Linked DNA regions of Schizosaccharomyces pombe. The main gene of each other region encodes a partner of the protein of the gene in region 2 in a complex. Each region holds a gene or a part of one and is shown on either strand. Other genes may lie near its edges. A codon is read from its position in the direction of its gene.

Region 1 (6,316 bases), on a different chromosome or scaffold from region 2:
GGAACAATGAATGCAGAGAAATTACCACCACGAAGCTCAAAAGTAGTAAATTGAGCTTGCATTTTGCTACAACTGAGTTTAAATTGCTTAACAATATTGCTAATTTTTTCGAACCTGTGAGCATCAGTGGCAGGATTGGACTCAGAAGAATAAGAAGAAATAACCAAAAATGTTGTTCTTTCAAATAATATTACCTCAGCAGCCTCAGCAGCTTTGGCAAATTCCCGGAGATGCGATTCCAAAGTAGGCGTATTAGGAATCAAAGTATAGACAATAGCAGACCATGCTTTGAATAATGTTTCATCCCAAATAGAAGTAGCTAAACAAGTGGTTTCAAGATCCTTACTTGTTTCTAACAAAATTGCCTTACGTTCCTCAAAAACTAAATCACGTAGATCTTCCTGAACTAAATCCATCTTGTGTATTAAACAAAATACACGAGCTTGGGGACTATTGGCCACTGTTGCTTCTAGACAATTACGAAAAGTTACTAAATCTCTTTCAAATTCTCTTGACTCAACATCGAAAACATAGATAAGTACTTGAACGTTTCTGAATATGTGATCACGCTGGGCAGATAAATAGTTTTCCATGAACGCCTCCTGTCCACCGCAATCCCATAGGTTCAAAACTAAATTTCCCAAGAACCTTACATGCGAATGTTCAATATCAATTGTAGCACCTAGCCTTCTCGTGTCCTTGGCAACATAATTGCTAAAAACTATGCTTCTCATTGAACTTTTGCCGCTGCCACTGCGGCCCATTAACAGGACTTTTTTTCTCATTTTTTCTAGAATAACAGAACTATCTTGAGATTAAGGGTAAAGCAATTAGTTTATAAAATTCTACAAAACAGCTGTCACTGCAATTGTGAGTGAATTCGTGTTTTTATGCGTTCTTTTTTAAAATCACAAGCAAAGAAAAAGTAAAAAAATAAGAAAGGGAGAAATGTAGGTAAAGGAATGCGAAAAGATTCTATAATATCCCGCAGACAGAAAAGTTTAAGTTGATTAGTGGTACAACGACATGCACTTCAGTCGATTACATCGTAAAGTTACGAAGTCTGTTTTCCTTAACCTACATATTAAAAATCAAATTCAAAGTCAAATTGTGAGAATTAAAATTAAAATAAAAATAAATTTACAAATTTATAAAAAACAAACATATAAATCAAGAACGAATGGTTCATCTCAGAATTAAGCACAGTAAAAATAGAAATAACCCCTTTAAAAGAATGTAACGTATTTTCAAATGAATATAACGAAATTAGTAGAAGAATCCTCATATCTGAGGTTTTTAAGGCGCATTAACGTTTAGCTATACGAAGTCTCTAAAGCAAAGACTTGAGAATAATTTTAATAGAAAGCTCTTTGGTTTTAACGAGAAAATACTCCAAAACCCTGGCGTCGTTAAGCTAGACAAATGATTAAGAAATATCAATAAAATAAATTTTTCTTAGACATCTCCGTACATCTCGGTAAATTCATAATGTTATTAAGAACAATCGTTATTTAGTTTTAAGATAAATATAAAATATCGTTATTATTAGCAGCGGCTATAGAAATGCTGCAATCAAGGACGCGATTTTTAGACACGAAGCAACAGCAAGAAAGCTGGTTGTTGTGCATAAAGAGCATTCTGACATTATTTTTGGGAATACATTTGTATAATAGTTATTGATTTAATTAGATAAAAAGAAAAAACAACATTCTGAAGAGAGTGTTTGCGAGCATCTATTCATAATGCCGAGGGCTATTTTTGAGGAAGATGCTGCACAATTAAAACTTGGTCCAGGTTGGATTTGAATTTTATTCTGTTGCTAATATAAAAAGAGTTTGAGAATGAGGATATGTTGACGGTTTCAGAGGCCAAAATCCTTATTGAAACAGTTCTGGCACAACGAGCACGCGAAACTAATGGTGAGATTCCAATGACTGAGTATGTCTTATTGTATGCATATTCTTTTTTAATTAACTAGGATAGTGTGATGAAAAAAACAGTAGCTTACTTCAATGTTTTTGCTCGGTTTAAAACGGCTGAAGCCACTTATGCATGTGAAAGGTACATAATTTCAAAGAATTGAATAGAATTTTAGAGGAAAATAGCCGTATGCAAATATTTGACTAACCTCATAGAATTCTTGGTAATCGATTCCATAAATTTGAACGTGCACAATTGGGAACACTCTGCTGCGAAGACGCTGAAGAGGCTAGGACCTTGATTCCTAGTCTCGCGAATAAAATTGATGACCAAAATCTTCAAGGCATCTTGGATGAGCTTTCCACTTTGCGTAAATTTCAAGATTAATGCAATAAATAGATCTCAGGCAAGTCTGTTTATTGTCAATTATGAAAACTTAAAAGGTTTCCGGTCTTATAAACTATTAGCTATATCAGGATTTATAATACGACGTTTTTGTCATTATTATTCCATAATTTATGAGGGGTCATAAAACTTTTTTTAACAAAATCTATGTTTTTTTATGCACCATACACTTCTTAATTAGTCTATTAAAAAAATATAATACAAACACTGAATACACGCGAAAAGGAATTTAGATAAAATGTATTAATTAGATTAAGTAAGTTTTAACAAGGATCATACTATTGTGAAGCAAGAAAAACTAAACATTTTGAATCAAATGGGCGTTCTTTGCTTCATAAAGGACTAGCAAGTTGAGTTTGAGGCAGGAAAACTTGAAGTATTTAAAATCGTTTACACATCCAGATAGCCGCTTTGCAACCCATTTGAATGGCATTGGTAAGCAATGCATGAGCTGGAGCTTCCTTTGCGTTCCAACCTTCGACTGCAGTGTTCAAATGCTCTAGCTCGTCATCTCGAAACTCTGCCAAATGGCTACGAATCTCTTTAAATTCTGGAGCTTTATTTTCCAAATGAGCCGTTTCACGTAGTTGGTCGTTATAGTGTCCGCCAATTACCGTTTCTACTGCCTCTGTACAAGCCATAGCTGCTTTGGTTCCAAGCAAAGCAGTTCCTGCTCCCAACGCAAATCCAGCGATGTCCCAGAAAGGACGTAAAAAGGTAGGACGGACTCTATTCTTTAAGACATAATTATCAAATGTTGCGAGATGGTACTTTTCTTGATCCCACATATGCTGAATGGTAGGTGCGACTTTGGGATCGGTAAATTGAAGGATAAAGTGCTGACCTTTGTAAATTTGATTAGCGCCTAATTCACCTGCTTGATCGACACGAATGACGCTGTCCAAAATATTTGAGTCTTTCTCGCTCAGTTCTTTACGGCCCATCGAAATTCTACGGCATGTTATAGAGGAGCGAAGAAAAGGAGAAACCGACTTGGTAGCAATGGGTATTAACTGTCTACGTGACAACATCTTTTGTAATGGTAAAAAGGCCTGAAATTACACAGAGTTATCAATTTTCAAAACGAAATTTTACTAATCAACAATAAACCAATATTTCTAATTCACTAATAGATTGAAATATTCGACGAAAGAGACTATGATGTTGATTGGGTGTGGAGGATTAGAATGTGAAGTTCTCTACCAAACCGAACGTTTTAGGCGGAAATGCTTAGTTGAGTAACACGTTAGGCTTGAGGTGTATTTCATATCAATCTCTGAACAAATCTGCAAAATTCAAGCTAGATGGTTAAGTTAAGAAGGAATTAAATTTAAGTGATTTGATGTTCACTCTATTTTTATGGAATAAAATATTCGATAAACTTGTCGTTTATTCTTTTGCTTGATTAACGCAGTGAATACCAGTTGCTTCAACTTTATTTTTAAGTCAAAATGAAAAATACATACTTAGTTTTTAAACTAAGAGATTCAATAAACAGTGGCGTAATTTCAGGAAAGAAGCAATGTATCATTTTTTTCCTTAGCTAAATGGCTTTGCTACAGTTTCATAGTGTTCGTCAATCTTGACGGATATAGAAGTTCAATAATAAAATGCTTCTTATAAACAATAAAAAAAAAAAACATATTTAAGCTGCAGTTTTAAAGTAAACTCCAATTTCCTATCTTTTTTCCAACCAATTCAACTCAACATTGTATTTTCGCTTAAAAAACTTTAAATTAATTACTAGTTCAACCGAAGGGGAATCCGAAGATATACAAATTTCCAGTATTACTGATATAACAAGTACAAGTAGAGACTCAAAGACACCCCATCACAATTAATTTTTGACTTGCTTAATAATTCAAGAATGTAATTTGGCATTATGGATTAATTTTCTTTGTTATAGAAAAAAAGCTCCAGAACCACACCCACCTCCCCCATCGAAAATTTACAATTTGAAATATGCGAAATCAATCATTTCTTTCCTTTTTCTAATTTAATCTTTTAAACACAAATGAGTACTTATGTTTTTCAGGCCTTCTCTCATTATTTTATAAAATAGCAATATCGTTAAATTCCGTTGTATCAAAGACGTCGTTTGAATGAGCTTGATTCTTTACCCCAAACCAACTTCGTATTTATATCAACCTTTTATAAAAGCATATTTTTCGCTAAACATGGCCATTTTTGAAATCAATAATTCTTTTTTAATTTGTGCTGTATCTATTGCTTTGAACCCTCTGCTATGGAATATTGCTGCACGTTCAGAATACAATCATAAGACTTTGACCAAATTGGCAAATGGCGACTCTAAGAAGGCCTGTTACATGCTAGCAGCTTGTATTTTTGTTGCCGGAATAGTTCGTGACTTAATTTATCAGAATGCTTTAAAACAACAACCTACGCTAGGTATCTTCATGAACCCTCTTGTGCAGGGTATAGCTAAGCTCATTTTTTGTTTTGGCAGCGTCCTTGTCTTATCGAGTATGTATAAGCTAGGACTTGTTGGTACATATCTTGGTGATTACTTTGGATTTCTGCTTCCAGAGCGTGTTTCTGGTTTCCCATTTAATGTCAACGATAACCCAATGTACAACGGTTCTACTCTTTGTTTCCTTTCTACAGCTCTGCGTTATGGAAAAGTTGCTGGCCTCCTTTTAACTTTGGAAGTCTTTTTCGTTTATAGAATAGCTTTGAAATTTGAAGAGTAAGTTGCCAACTGTTTAAATTTTTAAATTTTTCTTTACTCTAACCATTAATAGACCTTTTACTGCTAAAATTTACGCTGCTCGTGATAGCAAGCAAGCTAAAAAATCCGAGTGAAGCAGCTGATTTGAAGTGGCCATAAGTTAAAGCTTCATTAGAGTTTTTTATAAAAAAAAAAAAAAAAGGAACAATTTTAAATGGAATGTTCTGTTCATGACTAGTCCTTACCTTTACTAACGCTCCTCCTTTAACCGATTTTGCCCTATGTACTTTGACGACTTCAACGTCTGTATAATTATGCATAGTTTAACGCTTTTTTTTTCAAATTATTTAAGTGTGTTGATCGCGGTCTCAACACCATGATCCGATATTTTTATATTCATACTTATGTAAAAAATAATCTAATATTTTACACCATGTAAATTAACGTGCTTTCATTCTAAAATCAAATAAAATTCAAAACAAATATATTAGCAAACCAAAAAAACCCCGTTTTGACCAATTTATATGTACAAAATCAAACTCTATAAATCCAATCGTTCAAGAGGAAAAACAGAGTACAATTTCTAATTTATTTTCCAGAACGTTTAATAGATTTGACAATGCGATCAAGTTCTTGACGTTGATCTCCTTTTTCAGCTTTACGCTTTTTGATTTTAAGCTCAGGCTTACCGTCTTGTGTTTGTTCCAATTGATTTGAGCGTCTTTTACGACTTTCGTCCATAATTTTTTCCACCGTTTTAGTACGTTTGAAATGAGGATTTGTTGGATCAAGTGCAAAATTATGGTTAGTATATAGAGCAGCAAAACGTGGGTCACTGACATCAGCTTCGAATCCTTCCTGCAAGCCTTCCAAATTGGAGGCTTTTTTCTTAAGCTTGCGATTCTTCTTAAACTTTTCAGCCTTCAGTATACTCTTCATGTCAAAATGATCGAGCTGCTCAGAATCGTTTTCATCTTCACGAACAAGGTTTTCCAGTTCTTCTTTAGACGCGGCCGTAGGATCTTCAATTTGAGTATGCTTGCCCTTTTTGTTTTTCTTATTGTTACGACTAGCATCCTTGTCCTTAAAGAATGGATCATCAAAACCAAGATCAACGTCGGATCCTTCACCTTCATCGTCTTTTGTTTTCTTAAGCTGTCTCAATTCTTTCCGTCTTTGTTTTCTTTCAGCGGCCTTACGCTTGTATTTTTCAATAGTGGTTTCATCTTTTTCCGAAGAGTTCGCATTGTTATCAACATCAAAACCTGAAGTAAAAGTAACCTCCATCTCACCATTGGCGCC
Region 2 (6,783 bases):
TAAAAAATTCAGCGGATCGTGTTATTGGTAAATCTAAAGTGGCTCACAACACTGGTTCGCCGGTATTCAACGAAACTTTTTATTCCGTTTTGAATTCGTTTTCAGAGAACCTGAATTTGGAGGTATATGATTTTAACGATATTCGAAGTGACAAACTTCTGGGCAGTGCTGTACTACCATTAGCTACTCTGGAAGCTATGCCTGTGACAAATGATGCGTTTGTAGAATTGACTTTAAAAGGCAAGACTGTTGGTCGTTTAAATTATGACATGAAATTCCATGCAGTTGTGCCTGATTCTGGCGAAGAAATTACTAAAGTCGATGGCCCTGGTGTTCTGCAATTTACTGTGCATCAATGCAAAGAGCTTAGCAATGATCCATCGAAACGACCTACCGCTTATGCCAAATTGATTATTAACAATAAAGAAGTCTATACGACCAGAAAGATTAAGAAAAACAATAATCCATCATGGGAAGAATCCTTTGGTACTCTTCTTCCAGAAGGGAAGAATGCTACTCTGGGTGTTCAAATATTCACGGAGGAATCAGAGCATCCTTTTGGGACCGCTAATGTATCTTTGCAGGACTTGTTTGCTGCTACTAAGACGGGTCTTTTATGGTTTCCATTACAACATGCTCCATCCGGTAGAGTACGTATGTCTGTTATGTGGAAACCTGCTCAGTTAAATAACGACAGTATTTCTTCGATGGCTCTTGCTACTCCCATCGGTGCAATTCGTATCCATTTACGTTCGGCGAATAATTTGCACTCTAAGATTCCTGGTAAAAAATGTGATTCTTACGCACGCATCATGTCCCACAATACGAAACAGTTTAGGACAGTGGTCATTGCTAGCAATGTAAATCCGTTTTGGGATGAATACATGTATGCACCCGTAATTACCAAACATGACATCTTCTTTTTACAAGTGATGAATTACAATTCATCTGGTGAAGACAAACTCATTGGACAGACCCCTATCAACATATCAAATTTTATCAATCAAGGCGAAAATGGTGCTTTAATGGAATACCATGACCCTCGAGAACTAACTGTACCTTTGTCCTCTACCCGGGGTATAAAGGGTAATGCAACAATAACTTTCAAATGTGACTTTTTCCCATCCGCTGTCACAACCTCGCTCAGCCCTGATGTGACACCCGCTCCTAAAGCTTCATCAACTGTTGCAACTGATAAAGTAAATATCGAAGTGCTTCCGGAAAGCCAAAAAACGCCTACAGCAGTCGACAACACTTCAACTTCTCGAGGGTCTACGTCTGTTAAAACCTCAAAACCAAAGAAGATTTCAGAACTGCTTATGCCGTCTGAAGCTGTAAATGCAGCTTTAGACTTTGAATCTGGCTTCATGGGTTTCGACATAATTTCGTATAAAATAGCTAAGCCAGCCCAAGAGTTAGCTATATTTTTAGACGATTTACCTCATCATATTTTCTTATCATCTGCCTTAAACGTCACCGGTGGTGCTACCCTGCATGAGTACGGCAATACTTTCATCAGACAACTTGAATATTCTCAATGTACTTTCAAGCTGCTAGATGGTGATAAGGAGGTTGGTAGCAAAACTATGCTGAGTCGCGATTTAATTAGTAAAGGCGCTACTAAACCTCTGGAAATTGCATTTCCTGATGGTGCTTCGATTTTGGTCGCTTTTAGGCTAACTCCTGTTCCTGTGAAACTTGAGGAAGTTGAAATGTACGAAAATATGGGAGAAATGACCGTCGATGTCATAAAAGCCACGGATCTCCCTGCCGCAGATTCCAATGGAAAGTCTGATCCTTTCGTTGTTTTCGAGTTGCAAGGAGAAGAAGTGTACCGGACTAAAACGCACAAGCGGACGTTAAATCCTACTTTTAATGAAAGTTTCGAGGTCGAACTTCCTTGCAAGCAAACCTGTAATTTTGTTGCTAATGTTTTTGATTGGGATTTTGGTAACAAGGACGATCATTTGGGCTCTTGTGTAATCGACTGCAAGCTTCTTCAACAGCAACAACAGACTAACTATGAAATTCCTTTGGATAGCAAACAAGGAGTTCTTTATCTTCGTATAACTCTGAGCCCAAAATGGGTCCTTCGTTCCAAACGCGCCGGAAATTCTTCTCTTGTCGAAGGAATTCTTGGACAGACTGCTTCGATTGTTGGTATGCCTCTTAAAGGCATTAGTACTGTAGGTAATGTTGCTGTTGATGGGGTTGCCTCGGTGGCTAACCTTACGAACAAAATGCGAAAAGGAATAAGCCGTGGTTTTAAAGGAATTCATCACGAGAAGGCAAAGTGACTTTCCATTCTGTTATTTATTAGTTCTTTATTACAATTCGGTTTTCGCATTCTGACTTATTTGAGTAATATATTATCATTATGTTAAATGCATACTTTGATTATAAGGTATTTGAATATTTTCATGGTTTTCTATTTACCGAAGAACGATAAAGACTTATGCACTCCTAATAGATAAAATGCTAGCCCAAGATTGTATTCATAAGGAAATCGTCGATTGATATTGCGATTATATACAATAATTAGGGAAATTCTATTGTTGTGTAAAGGGTATATAAAGTTAAAATTTTTTTTTAAAGATATTGCGCAGCTTTTAGCCATAACATTACCACAGAATAGAGCCAAAATTTAGATCGATAAACGTTGGTATGCGCTTTTACAACTACATGAATAAACTTTGAGACCTAGAAAGGAACTTAATAATAACAGTATACGCGATGGTTAGCATTGAATTAATGAACATGAGAAATAAAAGACAAATTAAAATTTTATCTTTTTAAAGAACGCCTAGATAATCCTCTTTCATTGTTGCAATGGCAAACTAGATATTATGTTAGTAACACGATTAATTAAGCAAAATAAATATTGTGAACTATTGGGAAACTTACAATTTCGGTTGCATCAGTCCTTGTACCGACAATCTTAAGTCTGACATTCGACCCCTTTTCAATAACTTGATCCTCACCAGAATAATTAGGAGGGTTTGCAGTAGGGTCAAACTTCATATCTGGAGGCACCAAATGAGATGAGACAAAGACATTTAATGGTCCTATATTTGCGAAGAATCCCATTTTATTTACTGTTGTAACAATTGCATCGACCACTTCCCCACGAAATGGTCTCCATAACACTGCACGATACTTTACCTCAAATTCGGCAAACCCTTGCCCAGGAACTACCCTCCCTTTATCAATATCTATAGTATTACTGTCCAAAACGCAAATTATATAGCCATATTGACCTGAGCATGTGCCTTCCACGTCCGCCAACAATTTTGCCTTTAAATAGTCCTGCATTCTAGGACCGAAGTAACTGGGATGCAGAGAAATCGTTAACGAAAGCTCTTTGAGGAAGAAAGGCATTGTATCGATAAGTTAATGCAGAAAAGCCCCAATTCAACTCGATCGGTCGATGCGTATTAAAACTGTAAAATTTTGGTTCAAAATAGGGCAAAAATGATGAACATTAAAAAAAAAAACTTTAAATGAGCTTAGCTCTTTTTATTAAATTAAATTATCCCAATTTTTCAGCGGTTTTCGCAATTGCTTGATATATGCTGAGCGTTCGAGGATTTACGAAGTCCCAGTATCATGGGATAGCGCTTATAGAAATATCCCAAATTTTATATGCCTTTCACCTTGCTACTGAGAAGGATTTTAACAAGTGAATATTATTTTATCTCTAATAAGCATCTATTACGTCCTATAAAAAGCTCACTTACACTATTCCAAATTAATAAATCAAATATGCCAAGAATGAATCAATCATTGAGTCTATGTAAAATATTCATAACAAGTAATCAAATTGAAAATGGTGATAAATATTGTATACTGACCGAAGAAAATTGACATCCTTGCCCATCAGTGAGTAATGCAATTACTCATCAGTTTGTTCAAATGAATATTTATCTAAGCTTGTACAGATAAGTAGGTGTAACCCACTTATATAATTGTTCTTAATTACGAAGAACAATTTCCTTCGGCTTGTTGTCACGGAAGTATTTTTTCATAAGCTCTTCAATAATCCAACAAGCCGCGTAATCTACAACCATTGTGGCTAACAGTTGTATCTGGAAATTATAAGCCATTTTAACTAACTGAAGTTTTGCGTTGAGTTCAGGCGAAAACTCAGTTACACCAGCAATAGCGACAAAGGCAATGCCCAAAAGGCCATAGTACATTCCTTTATTTTCACTTAAAGCTTCACGGAAAGGACGGCCCTGATAATTGATAGCAAACGTTGAGACTTGTTGAATAAGTTGAAGCAAATAAATGGCAGTATTCAACAAAGAAGGCTTGAAGGTTTCTTCTAAATCCACCTTTTCTAAAGGATCCTCATACAGATAAACGACACGAGTTATATAGATAAGGGTAACGATATGAATAGCAAACTGACCTAAAACAGAACCAATTATGTAAGTGTTAAAAATTCCAGCTTGAGGCCTTTCTTTTGAAAGAGTTTCAAGTGGACGAGCCCGTGAAACACAGTAAAAACAAACAGACATTAACATTCCCGAAATAGTGTATTGAGTATCACCAAATTTAATTCCATCCAGATGAAGTACTGACAACGAGTAAGCAGTGATCAAACAGTTGAGAGCCAAAATCTTATGCATTTGAACGAGGGCAACTAAAGTACAACGACCTTGACGCACAATGTTGGTTATCGAAGAAACTACAGCTAATTTAGAAGTAAATGGTGCAGCAACAGAAGCGTCTCCTAGCTTAAGTTTCGGTGCCTCATCATCAGAAGCGTTTGCTAAAGTGTCAAACATCTTGTTAGCCAGATTTGCCCGTCTTTCAGCAGCTTTCTCAGCTTCCGTTAATTGAACATCACTAGCTTTCTTAGTTTCCAAATCTTCCAGGACCTTATTTAAGCCTTCTTGAGTCTTTTCACGATGAGGGTTGTTAGGACCAGGAGGGAAAGCATGGCAAAGTGCAGGTGGAACAGGAGGAGTTGGAAGATTAAATCTTTTAGCAAGTTGAATTTGCTTTTCATAAACGCCCATCAACTTCTGATTACGAGCTCTCTCTTGCATTTCAAGCATATCTTCTTCCGAAGCATTTAATAAAGCTACACCAACGTGTGCTTGTTTAAGAGCACCCACATCATTGGTACCATCACCACACATAAGAGTTATATATCCATTGTGTTTCAAAGTTGAGATCATGAATTCTTTTTGAGAAGGAGAAACACGCGCATAAACCCAAGCGTGAGTAAAAATTGACATAATAACGTCCGGATTGATAATTTGAGACAAAGCACGACCGGTAATACAAAGATCATACTTTTCGTACAACGAAGCTTCCAACGATTTATGAGGATTCATGGGTAAATTGATTGTATCATCTGTGCTCTTCCACTCTAAAATCTTTTCATTCTCATGCTTAATATCCAATACGAGGGTTGGCTTTTCAACAATACCAACTTGTTCAGCTACATATACGGCGGTCAGAGGATTGTCACCAGTTATCATCATGCAACGATGCGAAGAATTGTTTAGCATTTGCACAGTTTGCCTAGCATCCTCTTTAAGAGGAGAAGTAAAAATAAGGAATCCCGCAAATACAAGGTCAGACTCAATAGATTCACGGCTCAAATCAGAAACTTGATTCTCAGGGATATAATTTTTAAAATATTTATAACCTAGGGCGAGTACTCGAGACCCTTTACGACCATAATCTTTATAAATTTTTTCATAATCCTTAGGGACCTCCCGCAACATAGTAGCAATCACTTCAGGGGCTCCTTTTACCGAAACAAAAGTTTTAAAACTTCCTCCAGACACTCTTACGTTGGAAACAGAAGACTGTCTTTTTAAAGCTGAAGAAAATTGGAAGTTTCGAATGATTTGAACTTTACCTTTATAAAAAACAGAACCTTCAGGTGCTGAAACAAAATTCTTTTTCTCAATAGACCAACCCAAGTTTTCAACCGTAGCCTTTTCCATGGGGTCACCAACGACTTTGGGAGTTTCACCTTCTTGTTCCAGCAAAACTAAGGTATGTGCCGTAGCAATTGCCAGTATCGCATCGTTAGAAGCATCGCTTAATTTTTCAAGACTATAAGGATCCTTTCTATTAACTCCAGCAATACCTTGAACAACCATATGCTCTTCAGTTAAGGTACCCGTCTTATCAAAGCAACAGATATCCAAATGACCGGAGAGTGGTATACGAAATGGCTCAGTACAATAAATATAATATTTAGAAAGAGCACCTAATGAGGCATTGACAGCCATAGAAAGCTCCATAGGGAGTTCAGAAGGGACAACAGAAGTAATAATCATAACACAATCGAGCATTAATTTGTATCTGCTACGCTCAGTTTTACTGCCGACATGCCAAACATATCCAGAGGCTGCAATAGCGAACACTAGCAAAAATAGAATAAAGTAAAGACTTTCTCGATTGTTTGCAGTGACCTTTTCCGAAGAAAATACCATGGTACGTACCAAAGAACCCTGACTTGTTTCAAATCCGGTACGAAGAACAATTGCAGGAACACCATTATCTGGAGTCTTAAGTTTGCAAAACGGCGATTGAGTTACTTGAAGAACCCTAGTTCCTCCAAACAAAACAGCGTTTTTGTCAAGCTCATCGACATCAATAACAGCTTCTTCGGGGCGCAACTCAATAGATTCCTTAACCAGAGGTGTAGATTCTCCAGAAAGCATAGCCTCATTTACTACACAAGAACCTGAAAGTAAAAGAAGATCACATGGAAGCCCACTGTCTTCCTTATTGTGAAGGACAGATACGACATCA

Evidence for each region.
Region 1: the proteins of rpb7 (region 2) and rpb4 are in contact, whole or in part, in a crystal structure (PDB 3H0G), measured with the Schizosaccharomyces pombe proteins. Residues at the interface, in NP_001342741.1 of Schizosaccharomyces pombe: Phe3 (codon at 3,372), Phe4 (codon at 3,369), Leu5 (codon at 3,366), Lys6 (codon at 3,363), Leu32 (codon at 3,285), Glu36 (codon at 3,273), Gly37 (codon at 3,270), Gln42 (codon at 3,255), Tyr43 (codon at 3,252), Tyr45 (codon at 3,246), Ile47 (codon at 3,240), Cys48 (codon at 3,237), Val49 (codon at 3,234), Leu50 (codon at 3,231), Asp51 (codon at 3,228), Val78 (codon at 3,147), Arg81 (codon at 3,138), Phe83 (codon at 3,132), Arg84 (codon at 3,129), Gly85 (codon at 3,126), Glu86 (codon at 3,123), Val87 (codon at 3,120), Asp89 (codon at 3,114), Ala90 (codon at 3,111), Ile91 (codon at 3,108), Asn103 (codon at 3,072), Ile104 (codon at 3,069), Gly105 (codon at 3,066), Pro106 (codon at 3,063), Asn108 (codon at 3,057); in NP_595415.1 of Schizosaccharomyces pombe: Glu8 (codon at 1,764), Asp9 (codon at 1,767), Ala10 (codon at 1,770), Leu15 (codon at 1,785), Glu18 (codon at 1,794), Phe19 (codon at 1,835), Glu22 (codon at 1,844), Asp23 (codon at 1,847), Met24 (codon at 1,850), Leu25 (codon at 1,853), Ile34 (codon at 1,880), Val37 (codon at 1,889), Gln40 (codon at 1,898), Arg41 (codon at 1,901), Val54 (codon at 1,985), Met55 (codon at 1,988), Lys57 (codon at 1,994), Thr58 (codon at 1,997), Tyr61 (codon at 2,006), Phe62 (codon at 2,009), Val64 (codon at 2,015), Phe65 (codon at 2,018), Arg67 (codon at 2,024), Phe88 (codon at 2,161), Gln92 (codon at 2,173), Thr95 (codon at 2,182), Leu96 (codon at 2,185), Cys97 (codon at 2,188), Cys98 (codon at 2,191), Glu103 (codon at 2,206).

What each region holds. Positions count from the first base shown.
Region 1 is NC_003423.3:1,053,920-1,060,235, forward strand, and holds rpb4 (DNA-directed RNA polymerase II complex subunit Rpb4), read left to right. Parts: upstream 1-1,589; 5' UTR 1,590-1,742; coding exon 1,743-1,794; intron 1,795-1,832; coding exon 1,833-1,938; intron 1,939-1,983; coding exon 1,984-2,061; intron 2,062-2,135; coding exon 2,136-2,307; 3' UTR 2,308-2,583; downstream 2,584-6,316. Other genes in the region: Gtr1/RagA G protein Gtr1, read right to left, coding at 1-785; ubiquinone biosynthesis protein Coq7, read right to left, coding at 2,706-3,356; cho1 (putative phosphatidyl-N-methylethanolamine N-methyltransferase), read left to right, coding at 4,503-5,032, 5,088-5,148; pre-rRNA processing protein Esf1, read right to left, coding at 5,603-6,316. UniProt on the Schizosaccharomyces pombe protein: DNA-dependent RNA polymerase catalyzes the transcription of DNA into RNA using the four ribonucleoside triphosphates as substrates. Component of RNA polymerase II which synthesizes mRNA precursors and many functional non-coding RNAs.
Region 2 is NC_003424.3:2,898,883-2,905,665, reverse strand, and holds rpb7 (DNA-directed RNA polymerase complex II subunit Rpb7), read right to left. Parts: upstream 3,583-6,783; 5' UTR 3,379-3,582; coding exon 2,905-3,378; exon of another isoform or gene 2,838-2,904; coding exon 2,793-2,837; 3' UTR 2,533-2,792; downstream 1-2,532. Other genes in the region: tcb3 (tricalbin), read left to right, coding at 1-2,297; P-type calcium transport ATPase Cta4, read right to left, coding at 3,972-6,783.